2 linked regions of the Drosophila melanogaster genome follow. The protein of the gene in region 1 purifies or fractionates together with the protein of each later gene. This does not show direct contact. Each region holds a gene or a part of one and is shown in the gene's direction. Other genes may lie near its edges.

Evidence for each region.
Region 2: the proteins of CG3511 (region 1) and CG12241 purify together in Drosophila melanogaster (affinity purification with mass spectrometry, with the first as the bait; one large-scale study listed by BioGRID). This does not show direct contact.

The regions. Positions count from the first base shown.
Region 1 is NT_033778.4:24,568,650-24,575,003, forward strand, and holds CG3511 (uncharacterized protein), read left to right. Parts: upstream 1-2,977; 5' UTR 2,978-3,058; exon of another isoform or gene 3,059-3,122; 5' UTR 3,123-3,256; coding exon 3,257-3,425; intron 3,426-3,475; coding exon 3,476-3,679; intron 3,680-3,736; coding exon 3,737-3,920; intron 3,921-3,974; coding exon 3,975-4,207; intron 4,208-4,265; coding exon 4,266-4,479; intron 4,480-4,532; coding exon 4,533-4,835; intron 4,836-4,902; coding exon 4,903-5,021; intron 5,022-5,166; coding exon 5,167-5,287; intron 5,288-5,346; coding exon 5,347-5,566; intron 5,567-5,634; coding exon 5,635-5,781; 3' UTR 5,782-5,854; downstream 5,855-6,354. Other genes in the region: Fcp1 (TFIIF-interacting CTD phosphatase), read right to left, coding at 11-220, 291-1,460, 1,523-1,704, 1,786-2,222, 2,285-2,378, 2,469-2,875; Start1, read left to right, coding at 6,341-6,354.
Region 2 is NT_033777.3:15,216,873-15,223,681, forward strand, and holds CG12241 (uncharacterized protein), read left to right. Parts: upstream 1-2,383; 5' UTR 2,384-2,538; coding exon 2,539-2,604; intron 2,605-2,673; coding exon 2,674-3,196; intron 3,197-3,257; coding exon 3,258-5,083; 3' UTR 5,084-5,499; downstream 5,500-6,809. Other genes in the region: SIDL (shal interactor of Di-Leucine motif), read right to left, coding at 1-1,546, 1,604-1,827, 1,881-1,905; Polr2G (RNA polymerase II subunit G), read right to left, coding at 5,528-5,578, 5,636-5,773, 5,831-6,151, 6,209-6,220; CG31344 (uncharacterized protein), read right to left, coding at 6,561-6,809.

The DNA.
Region 1 (6,354 bases):
GACGGGCTACCTCGCCTAAACTTGGCGCTGGGCATCTCATCGTCATCGTCCTCCTTCTCGTTATTGTCATCGGCCTCCTCGTTCGAGCTAATGTCCACCTCCACGAGGTTTGGCGCTCCAATCATTATATCATCGCTTCGCGTGAAAAAGTCGTGAGCTCTGTTGGAATTATCATCTTCGCGCTTTCTCTTCAACAGCTTCTTGTCCATTGGTGGATTTTCTTGAGTTATTAAAGACGTATTCGATTAAACGTGGATACAGACACATGGATTAATAAGTAAAATACCTACCAAAATTTACAGGACCCTCGTCGCTGGACGAGTCTGACTCGAAGAATGTTTCGTAGTCCTTATTCATAGACTCGATATCTGCGTTGGTGAAGACCAGCAGCGGATTCAGCGTTTCGCGGAAGTTGCCGCTCTGCTCCTCCTGCTGCTTGCTGCTCGAGGGTGAGATCTCCGAACGCTCGCTGTAGTTAACCACGTGCTCGGGACTATGGCAATGGGCGGGTGGCTGGCGACCCTTGTTGCGTACCTTGCGGTCCAGTGGAAAGAGCTTCTCCTCCACGTGCTCCCAGCGCTCGGCGCAGGTCCACAACCAATTCGCATTGACCACTTTAATGGCAGGCTCTTTTTTGGCGGCGTTAACCTTGTAGGTGCCTGCGTTGACCGCCACTAGATGCGTTATCTCCTTGTCAATATTGGGCTTCACTTCGGCGCCCAGGCTCTTGGCTATGAAATACGCCCGCGACTGCTCGAGCTTCATCTGCGTGGGCACCAGGCCGGAGAACACCAGGTTCTTGCCGCGCAGCACTTCGCTCCGAATCTTCGGAACGATAACCTTTAGATCGGGTATTTCCGTGGTTTCGTCGTAAATAGAGTAGAATCGCTTGTGAATGTTACGAAGTATGACCTCTAGATACAGCAGGTAATCGTCGGGGTCTTCAATCTCTATCTGCTTTTGCCCCTCGAGCGGTGCTCGTAAGCTGGGCGTCTTAGACGTGGTGGCCACATCAGCGTCAGCAGACGGGCGCTTCTCATCCGGCGAAGTGGTGGATGAGGCTACAACCTCATTCTTTTCTGCCGGTGTGGGGGGCACCTCGGCTTTTGTGCTCTCCTTGGAATTATCATCAATAACTACTACGTCTTCGCCATCGCTGGCTGCTTTTTCAGCATCTGGTGAGCCAGATGAGCTGTCGTCTATGACCACAATATCCTCAGCATTAGTCTTGCCATTCAATTTGTCTCTCGGCTCTTTGGGTGCTTCTGTAGCGCTTGAGGCGTTGGAAACCTCTGGATCCTTGGCATCGCCCTCTATTTCGAACACGTCTACTGACTCCTCGTTTACATCGTCATCTTTGCTTGTGCTTGTGACGGTATTATCACCCTTATCGGTGTCTTCTGGTTTGACTTCGCTGCTGGATTCCGTCTTATCTTTGTCCCCATGCTTCTCGGTAATCTCTGCAACAAATGGAAATATCGTTAGAAACATTCAAGTCAGCTTGCTGGAACACCCAACCCACCTTTAAAGTCAACGCCTTCGCCATCCAGTTCATGCTTAGACAAACCCGGCGGGGCATTGATGTCACCAGTGTGTTGAAAGAAGTGGTAGGGCTTAACCTGAATCAAATTTGAAGCCATGTTCCACACATCCTCGCGATCGTCAATGATGCACACCATGGAATCGCCATTCGGAAACAGAGCCCTGTAATATACAATTTGTAGATTATTGTTTAACACGTTTAACAAGTGAAAATCCAAACAGCTTTCAGGTATAGAAACGCACTTTAAATTGTCCGTCTTGCTGGTGGCGTTGAAACACTCGTCTCTGGACAGAATCCTGTGCGAGAAGAACTTGCCCTCCGGGTCCAGCAGCTGGGCAATCATGTGCGCGTAGTTACGCGCACCAAAAGTGCAAATGTGCAGTTCGTACAGCTGGGACATGCGCTCCAGAAACTCGGCGGTGCCGGGGCGCAGGCGCGTGTGGTACCACGGGGAATGTGGGCCGTACAGCTGGAAGTGGTAGATGCCCTTGATGTTGTCCGGCACAGTGTCGTTGGTGGTGTGGATCACCGTCTGATCGAGATCGACAAGCAGGACCAGCTTCCTATCCGCCAGCAGGCGGCGGGTGTCGTCGTGCCCGAGCTTCTGGGCCAGCTTCTGGGTGACCTTAAGATCGGGCATGGTGTGCACCATTGGCACCGAGGCCTCGGAGGTCTGTCCCTGCGGGTTAAATGTTTAATTATTCTATATGCCCCTTGAGGTGGGTGGCAATGTGCACTCACATTCTCGTTCTGACGCAAGTCGGCTCCGCAGTCCGCGCACATGTCCTTGATGACCGTGGTGTGTATGCACTCGGACAGCTCCAGAATGGCATCCCTAAAGAACAGGCTCGGTTAGTGTGTATACGGCTGCATAATTGCATTCCCCCACGCCCAATCGCCGCCCGATTGCAACCCCCAAACTCACCCCTTCGTAAGAAGCTCCCCTTCCTTGCGAAGGCGCTTCTTCACCACTCCGGCGCGCTGGGACTTGTACCTCTGGATGGCACAGTCCCCGCCCGGCTTTCCCGCGTCCTTCGCGTCCTTCGCGTCCACGCCCACGGGCTGGTAAAGAAACAAGATTTGGGCCGCCGACACGAATTGTCCCTCGCGAACCCGCCATTTATTGATTACCGCTCTCGCCTCGTTCTCTCCCAGCGCAGCTCTCAAAACAATGATGCCGCCACCGCTGGTGTTGTTGTTGCTGTTGCCGCTGGCGCTGTTCTTGGCTCCGCTTCCTCCGCCGCCATCGTCGCCTTCGGCAGCTCCAGATGCGGCCACGCCCCCTGGCGCGCGGCTGGGCGTCGCGCCCTCCTCGTCCGGTATGTTCTGCATCGCAAGGCTTACGTTTTTATATACAAACGATTTGTTTAAATCCCAGTGCCTTGTTGTGTTTGCAATTTGTGTGAATATTGCGCGGAATTCGCATAAGAGCGCGGACAACTTTTGTAACTGCTCTCAAACAGCTGACTGAGCGCGAAAGGCGGAAAGTACTGATGGGGGTTTCACTTCGATTTGGTTAGTTAATGTGCGTAATTAACCATTAATTGGTAATTCAATTTATTTTACTCGTTTCTTTTAGTTTTGAGTTAAAATACAGGATATTCGTCCAAAGATATCGCAGAATCATTTGAATCAGCTGCTTTTGACCGTTAACCAACACTGTTTAATCGGCGGCAAACTAGTTCAGTCGTATTTTGTTTATTAACTTCCAAAATGAGTGATAAAACCAAGGAAGACCTGAAGCGCAGTGCCCCGGAGGAGGAGAATGAGCCCCAGGAGGAATCTGTGTCATCCGAAAAAGAGGCGGAAGGCGAGGAAGACGCCTGGATTGGACCCATGCCTTCAGAGCAGAGCGCTCCCGCGCCCGCCAAGAAAAAGAAGGGTTATTATTAAGAATTAGATTTCATTTAACTATAACTAATCAATAAATAGTCCTGCCCTATGAACACATCTACCTGGAAAACCTGCCCAATGCTGAGAGCTACGAGAGGAGCTACATGCACCGCGATGTGATCACTCATTTGGTGTGCACGAAGACGGATTTCGTAGTGACCGCCAGTCTGGATGGACACATCAAATTCTGGAAGAAGGGCGAGCTGGGCATCGAGTTCGTCAAGCACTTTCGCAGCCACCTAGGTGGGTTCTTGATCCACATAACGTGTATTTCTTCGTTTAACCAAGTGTTTGTTGCAGTACCCATCAAATCACTGACCACCAACGACAGCGGCACGCTGCTCTGCTCGGCGGCCACGGATCAGACAGCCAAGGTCTTCGATGTTGTCAACTTCGACATGATCAACATCATTCGATTGGGCTACACACCGCAGTGCAGTGAGTGGATAAATGGGCCGGGAGATGCCGTACAAGCACTGGCCATGTAAGTACCTTATCAATATCTGGAGATTAATGATTCTGATTGCTCCTCCTCCAGCTCGGATTCAGAGAGTAGCCGCATACACATCTACGACGGGCAAGGAGGCGGAGAAGCCCTTCACACCTTGGAGAAACTTCACTCGGCGCCCGTGGTGGCGATGTGCTTGAATGTGGCCATGGAGACCGTCATTTCTGTCGATCGCAATGGCATTCTCGAATACTGGCAAAACTCGAAGTACGACTACAAGTTTCCACAGCGTCTGGTGAATTTTGACTCCAAGCTAGACACAAGTATAGATCGATGATTAAGCTGAGTGAACCTAGACTCATCTAAATATTAACCTTTTAGGCCTCTTTGAGTTTGCCAAACAGAAGACCCAAGTCACGGGTTTAGCCGCCACGCCGGATGGAAAGCGTTTTGCCGCCATTTCCACAGATCGTAAGGTCCGCGTCTTTCAGTTCAACACGGGCAAGTTGATCCGGGTATTCGATGAAGCTCTATCTACATACACCCAAATGCAGCAGACGAAGCACGCCCTGCCCAACATGGAGTTTGGCAGAAGGTAAACTAGAATAAAATAGTTATTATTTATTGGTTTAAAGATATGAATTCCAGAATGGCGGCTGAGCGGGATCTGGAGAAGACTGCCCAGAATGCAACCCTTAATATTTTGTTCGACAGCACTGGCAACTTCTTGCTCTACCCAACGATGTTGGGCATCAAGGTGATCAATGTGGTAACGAATCGCTGCGTCACAATTCTAGGAAAAACCGACAACATACGGCCCCTCCAGGTGGCCTTGTTTCAAGGAAGAATTAAGCGCCAAAAAGCTGCTATAACAATGGAGCAAGAGGCCAGTGAAAACCCAGCACTCCAGAATATCCTTAACGATCCAACAGCCTTTTGCACTGCTTACAAGTTAGTTCATACCGTTTTGAATTATATCTATGCTGTATTATAATGTCCATTCTACTACTCTTATTAGAAAAAGTCGCTTCTATTTGTACAGCCGAAGACTGCCCTCGGATCTGCAGGATGTCGACCGCGATATTTTCAACGAGAAGCCCTCGAAGGAGGACATTATCGCCGTGCCGGAAGCTTCAGGTATTTTGGTTTGGCTTATCCCATTAACCTTTCTTAACTAACCCAAAACATGTTTCTATTGCACGCCAACAATATTTTAAGACGAAGGTTATTCCTATCAGATATTTCAAGAACAATTCATTACAAAATGTTCCTTCTATTCTAGTCGTGCAACGCATCTACGAGAACGTGGTGCTCCACACCACGAAAGGCGATATCCACATGAGGCTGTTCTTCAAGGAGGTTCCAAAGACGGTTGAGAACTTCTGTGTTCATGCGAAAAATGGGTATTATATATACGTCAACTGTTGAGAACTGTCCCATTGCAATCACATTATTTTGTCAGGTACTACAATGGACACATATTCCATCGCGTGATCAAGGGCTTCATGGTGCAGACTGGCGATCCCACGGGAACGGGCACGGGCGGCAAATCCATTTGGGGAAGCGATTTCAAAGACGAGTTCGTGCCGAGCCTGAAACACGATCGGCCCTACACGGTCAGCATGGCTAACGCGGGTCCAAACACGAATGGAAGCCAGTTCTTTATCACAGTCCTGCCCACGGTAAGGATGAATGCAGCGGTGATTAGTTTACTTTACTGGATTGACTAAGTACCAATCTCTAATTGCAGCCCTGGCTCGACAACAAGCACACGGTGTTCGGAAGAGTTTACCGCGGCATGGAGGTGGTTCTCAACATTTGCAATTCCAAGGCGAATCCCAAGACGGACAAGCCCTACGACGACATTAAAATTATTTCGATACACTTAAGTAATTGAGCAGAGGGCTAAAATAAAACTTTCAGCGACACTGGTTTTCAAATCTTCGGAGAACCGCCAATGCGCCGCAAAGAATTTTGGTATTTTTTTTTAACTCGGTTTTTTTGGTGTTTTCCCAGCCCGGCACACTAAACAGCTGATTCGTTTCTTGCATTCGGTGTTCCTTTTGTTTCGATAGTGCAATTAATATAAATTGGGACAACTGCAAATCTAATAGTATTATTAGAACCGGAATTAGTTGTGCACCTTCTAGTATTAGAGACTTATTAACATAACCAACCTGTGCCTACCGGAAATATAGAGGTACTTCTCGCAAATTATGCGGGTTCTTGCAAGATAATACGATACCATTTGTTTATGGCTGAGTAAAAAAAAAACAAAGAACTCCAGGCTGACGAGTCATTTGTGCGTATCGGCACTGAATCTGCTCCAGATTCGAAAACTAGGTTTATTTACATTTGCATGCAAAGGTATATTGTCTTCGATATGTGAATTGTAGTATACGTACATAGTTGCCTTTATTTCCAGACATGAGCTAGGCCAAATATAACCGCTCGCCATGTCCAATATGGA
Region 2 (6,809 bases), on another chromosome or scaffold:
TGTCCAGAATGCGAAAGTGATCCTCCAGTACACAATAGTTGGCATTCTCTATCGACGGCTGTGCCGAAAGCGTCGTCTTAAGTGTTTTCAGTGACTTGAGAAACTCGTCGAAATAAAATGTTCGCACTAAGGTCTCTAGTTCTGCGCAACACGAGATGGAGCTACATGTCTTGGTGTAGGCCAGCGAGTCGCCCATCTTGCGGTAGCAGTTAGCTAGTTCAAGCAGCGTCTGCGAGCTCAGCATGTGCCAGTTCTCTGCCTTCAGCTCCCTGAGAAGATCCGTAAAGAATCCAACAGCTTTATGTGGCTCATTTAGAGCGCAGTAGAAGTTTCCCAGGTCCAGGCCAACCAAACGGGCCGATCGCAAGCGTGTCACATGCTTGTACGTACTGATGGCCAACTCTGCCAGCTCCAGGTAGAGCTTCTGGAAGGCTTGATTCGAGCCCAGGGCTTCCTTAAGCTGCTCAGCCCCCGATTTCTTGGGCTTACGATTGGGAGACCGGTCTCGTAGCTGAGGTGTCGCCTGGAGGAACTGATGCTGCTCGGACGGCGCATCTCCAATTCCCGACGATAGCTGCACCACTATGTGCAACTGCTCCGAAGTTGGCGTGCAGCCGGGCAAGAGGCCACACAGTTTGCCGAGCTCGTAGAGCTTATCCTTGGCCAAGTTCCAGATGGGAGCACAGTGCTGGAAACATGTTAGCTCGTTGGGTTCCATAGCCTGTTCGCACAGCTGCAGGACTTCCAGAGCACAAACAAACTCCCAACAGCAAAGAGCGCCCTCCTGACACTCCAGCTTTATGAGCTCCACCTCGCGCAGTGTGGAAAACAAAAAGTTCAGAAGCCTCTTCGCGATTTCTGGGATGTCATTGCAAGTAAGCAGCAAATAGGCTTGACGTTCGAAAAGATAGTTGCGGAATTCCAACAGAGAAACGCCTTCATCGCGGATTTTGTTCCTCATTTCGAACTTGTCCGCTCGGGTCAGACATATACCATGGAAAGCGTCCAGGGGCTTGCGAAAATGGTTCAACCACTGCTGCTTCTCGTTGAGACCAGTGTGAGTTATGAACTGCGAGAACATGGCGTCCAGTTCATCGTACTGTATCAACGCCTCGGTGGGCAATTCCAGCTTTTCAAAGATCAACGCAAGGTCTTCCTGCATAAAGAAGTATTGGCGGAAATCCCAGCCTTCAATGTTTCTCTTTTCGCGCTTGCTCCGTATTAGTTCCTCGTACTTAACTATGTTCCGATTGTAGCTGGTGAGCATAAGGAAGCGAATACGCTGCACTAGGCAGCGGAAGGACTCGGTGGATTTCTGTTCAAACTTGGCCGGGTTCAGAACTGAGATGCAGCGGTCGTCGTTCTTCGTGCCAAAATCCAACCGTATCTTATCTAGCACAGTGGTGCGTGGCATGAAGTTCTTTGTCTTCCGCATGTCCAGTGTTTCGACCAACAGAATCATCCAATCCGAGACGCCATAACTGGTTAATGTTTTTAACCAAATGTCGATTGCCTCCCTGATCGTGGCTTTGTAGGTGTCCACATCCTGAAAGATAGTTAATGGAGGTGGATTTAGAGATTCCTACAGGATCAGTTAACTCACATTGCACTCGGTGACGAAAATGTGCAGTATGGGGTGCTCCAAGATGCTCCAGTCACCCTGCTTGTACTTCTCCAAGGCCGCAACATTGAACTGCTGTGCCTGGGCTTCCAAGCGAACATGTTTCGTGGGGCGTTGGAAAGTGCGTCGCCACTCGCAAGTGTCCAGTGGAATCGCGTTCAGGATCTGGGACTCCAGCGATCGGAACAGCGGGCACGAGCCAGAGTCTGTAAGTAAAGGTTTGATATGGGATTTATTGTGTTAATTTTTTACAACTCACATGTTATTATGGGCTTTATCTGCATTGTTTTTGTAAATTTCGTATGTTTTTCATTTGGCAAACGAAAGCCACACAACAATCTCAACCAAACAGCTGATAAGGCGAGGGCGGGGGAATCGATTGTTCGTTGCTATCAATAATCGGTTGACCAATTTAAAAAATATTTTAATTCCTAATGCAATGAACCATTAAATGCTAGCCTAATACAAGAAATTAATAATCTAATTAAGCAGCTTTAACTATTCGCTCAACAGGTGTGCTTTCAGCAGCCCTGGTCAAGGGCGTAGAGAAAAAGTAGAAGGATATGCAGAATAAAATATGGTTAGATGAACCAAACTAAATGGTTTTTAATTGGTAGAGAAAGCCTTCTTTTATTAAAAAATATTAACAAAAAATGTTTTCACTTAAATTTGTTAAGGGGTATATGAGGGGTATATCCCTTTTGCACCACACCTCAGTTTTTTATGGCTTGGCTAAAAATCGATACCACCCACAGTCGCCTATCGAACAGCTGATAGTGAAATCAGATTCGGTAGCTAATTGAAAACGAAACAATGAAGAAATAATATTTGTTTTTCACACGCCACAAAGAGACACTTAAGAGAAACTTTCACTGAATGCGCGGCCAGGTCTCGACTGGAAATTAGCCAGCCCCAGCATGGACATGGCCAGGAGCATTTTTGGCCGCGACCATGAGGGTTACGTGGGCCGTGAAGAGCATACGGTGCGTCTAAATTGACCAGAAAAGATTGCTTATCATGGTAATTAATATTTATCGTTCCACTGCCAACAGCGCAAACTGCAGAACCTGGGCTCGGAAGACGATCTGGGAGAGCTGCCGCCTATGATGGAGGAACTAAGTGTGGCCGATGGCCTGCGACCAAATCCCGGTGGGCCATTCTCCGCTCTTACCGCCTCCATGTGGCCACAGGAAATCCTAGCCAAGCTGGGCGGTGGCGCGGAATTGGCTTCCGGCCCAAACGACCAGCCGGAGTACCGTTTTGACGAATTTGGCTTCCGGGTGGAGGAGGAGGACGGTCCGGAGCAGAGCTCCAACAAATTGCTGAGCATACCCTTTGTAGAGGACGCGCAGCAGCGATTGCAGTGGATCGCCCACCTGGAGTTCTCACACAACAAGGAGGCTGCCGAGCTGAGCTGGGAGCATGTGGATGTAATGCTCCCACGCACAGAAAAGCTGCGCAATATGGTCCGTCAGGGTATCCCGCACACGTTGCGTGCCCAGATGTGGATGCGTCTATCAGGAGCGTTGGCCAAGAAGCAAAAGAGCGAGACCAGCTACCACGATATAGTTAAAGGTAGATCGAACGCGACAAGAAAGGTTATAAATACATTATTAATATACACCTAATTTGATAGCTTCTAGCAATGACCAGCTGATGACTTCGAAGCAGATCGAGAAGGACCTTTTGCGCATCCTGCCAACAAATGCCTGCTTTAGCAATCCGAATGGGACAGGCATTCCCCGATTGCGCCGCATTCTGAGGGGCATCGCGTGGCTTTTTCCTGACATTGGCTACTGTCAGGGCACCGGAGTGATCGTTGCCTGTCTGCTTCTCTTCATGGAGGAGGAGAACGCCTTTTGGATGATGGCCACCATTGTAGAGGATCTGCTGCCAGCTTCCTACTACAGCTCAACTCTTCTGGGAATTCAAGCCGACCAACGCGTGATGCACACGCTTATTGCCAACTACCTGAGCAGCGTGGACGAGTCCTTGCGTAAGCACGACATCGAGCTGTCTTTAATCACGCTGCATTGGTTCCTCACGCTTTTTGCCAACGTGGTGCATATGAAGATTCTTGTGCGTATCTGGGACTGGTTCTTTTACGAGGGCTCCATCGTGCTGTTCCAGTTGACTCTGGGCATGCTCAAGGTGAAGGAGCAAGATCTAAAGCATCTCGAGAACTCAGCACAGATTTTCAATTCACTGTCCGACATTCCCGGCGAGGTCACTGATGTCGAAGTGCTCTTTCGCCAAGCCCTGGAGGTGGGCGGATCACTTAGCCAGACGGTAATCGATACCCATCGTCGTCGTCACCTGGCCTATCTCATGGCGGATCAAGGACATCAGATAGGAAATCCCGAGGCTGCGCCTAATCTTCCCAAACAACAGCTAGCCCGACGGCAGGTGCGCAAAAGCAAATCCATCCTGGAAGCCTTTCTCTTCCGCGGCGACGGCAACGAAGGGGATCAGCTGAAGAACAAGAATATACGCCAGACGGAGATCCTGGTAGACTTAAGAGAGGCTATCCTTAAAGTGGGTCGTCATTTCATCACCATTGAACCCAAGCTTGCCGGTCACATCCAGCTGACGGCCAACTACAGCACCGAGTCGCATGCCAAGGACCACGAAAACTTTATCAATGTGGCAAGGACGCGAAAGCGAAGGGCTAAAGCCCTGCACGACTTTGAGCGGCACGACGACGATGAGTTGGGATTTCGGCGGAACGACATCATAACAATCATCAGTCAAAAAGACGAACACTGCTGGGTGGGAGAACTGAACGGCCTGCGCGGCTGGTTTCCAGCCAAGTTCGTGGAGCTGCTCGACGAGCGGAGCAAGTTGTACACATCAGCCGGAGATGATGCCATTTCGGAAACTGTAACGGACCTGGTGCGTGGCACCTTGGCGCCGGCCATCAAGGCCTTTCTGGAGCACGGCATGAAACGGCCCACGTTTCTGGGTGGACCAATACACCCCTGGCTGTATATTGAGGAGGCTGCCACCCGGGAGGTGGAGAAGGATTTTGAGTCGGTGTACAGCCGTCTTGTGCTCTGCAAAACGTATCGACTGGATGAGGATGGCAAGGTACTAACGCCCGAGGAGCTACTCTATCGCTGCGTTCAGGCCATCAATCAGACGCACGATGATGCGCACGCACAAATGGATGTTAAGTTACGCTCGCTGATCTGTTTGGGCCTCAACGAACAGGTTCTTCACCTCTGGTTGGAGGTGCTGTGCGCCTGCCAGGAGGTCGTACAGAAGTGGTATCATTCCTGGAGCTTTATTGACTCACCCGGTTGGGTGCAGATCAAGTGCGAGCTGCGCATTCTCTCGCAGTTCGCCTTCAATCTGAACCCCGACTGGGAACTGCCGCCGAAGCGCGGCAAGGAGTCGCAACCGCTCAAGGACGGAGTAAGGGACATGCTGGTGAAGCACCATCTCTTCTCATGGGATCTGTGAGGCTTGCTGCCGCCTTGTAAGGAGCTCCACAATCGTTGGCAATCAACTGCGTATCCAATATCTCATTGCCCCCTTCTCTGTTCTTTCATTTCTAAGTGCAATCGCAATTCTTTGAATCGAAGCTATCGCTTTTTTAAGTACTTCTTTGTTGTCGTACACCTAACTTAAGTGCTTTACCATAACGATCTGTAGCTGTAACTATACCTTTAAAACGCCCTATGTATAGCTCGAGCCGTTTGTTTACTTAATGTCCATCCATTATTATAAATCCTAGACCACACCAATCTACTAAATTACAAATGTAACGTACCTTTAATTGAAATCAAATCTTATAAAGTACAGACATATTTATTACTATATACACATAGATGTTTAACTGTCTAAATGCATTTCATTAAAGTTTAATATATATATATATATAAATTGTACGCAAAACGATTGAATTTAGTTGGACACCAATCCCAAGTAGTCGTCCATCAAAGTGCCAATTGCAAACTAGAAATATTAGAGTATTAACTTGCGAAAAGTACTTATATTTATGGAGCGTCTTACAATTCCAGTGGCATCTACTCGTGTGCCCACAATCTTCAGCCGAATCTTATCCTCTCCGGAGATAACCACATCCTCATCTTTACTCTTATAGCAGGGCGGATTCCCATTCGGGCAGAACTGCATGTCGGCGGGAATAGACTAAAAAAGAATCGCCCGTTAAAAAGTGTTACCTTAGATCCCTCAGACTTAACATACATGATGCGAAATGAAGCAGGACAGCGGGCCGATCTCTGCAAACATGCCCACTTTGTTGATCTGCTTGACCACTGCGTCCAGAACTTCGCCCTTAAATGGCCGAAAGACGATAGCTTTGTACTTGACCGGATACACCACAAATCCCTGGCCCGGCTGGATGACACCCGATCCGATTTGATCTATCGTCGTCACCGCTATCACGAATCCGTACTTTCCCGTGCAGGTGCCCTCCACTTCGGAGTAGAGTTTCTGCTTCACGGTCTCCAGCAGTTGCGGGCCAAAGTAACGTGGATGAAGCAGAATCTCTTGCTCCAGCGATATCTACGGCGCAAGGGGTTGGCATTTATTTTTGCTCTATTCGGAGAATGAAATACTCACGTGGTAAAACATTGTTAATTAAATTTAAGGTAAAAAACTAAAGTAAACAGCCGGAACCCAAAAGATGCTGCCGCAAGTGTGACCAGATTCGGAAATGTAAAAAAAACAGAAGCGCGTAATTTACCGCCAATAATTATAACGATCTGTTTAGAAAGAAAAATAAAATAATTAATTAATTAAATACGATAATTTATGGAGGTGTTCGATTTTCAAGTCATTCAACATTTCTTATATGATCAACATGAACTACAGCCCGTTCATTAAATATGGTTAAAATATAAACTCAACATTCCTTTTACAACAATTACTTTGCATATTTATTGATAATTTACCTACTGAAACACAACACTATCTAATCGTCCTTCAAGCCCAGGGCAAAGTCTTGGGCTTCCCCGCCATTCCTGAAAATCCGCACATACGCGGACTTCGGGCCAAACTTCCAAATGGCGACGTAGGGCAAGTAATAGGTGAATATGTCCACCAGCCAGACGCGGAAGTTCAAGTACCATCGCACCAGGGCATACCTGTGCAGATATGTGACGAGGAACAGGCCGTAGCTGACTATGAATCGGTCCCACCATCCCATGTCGTAGTAGTGCAG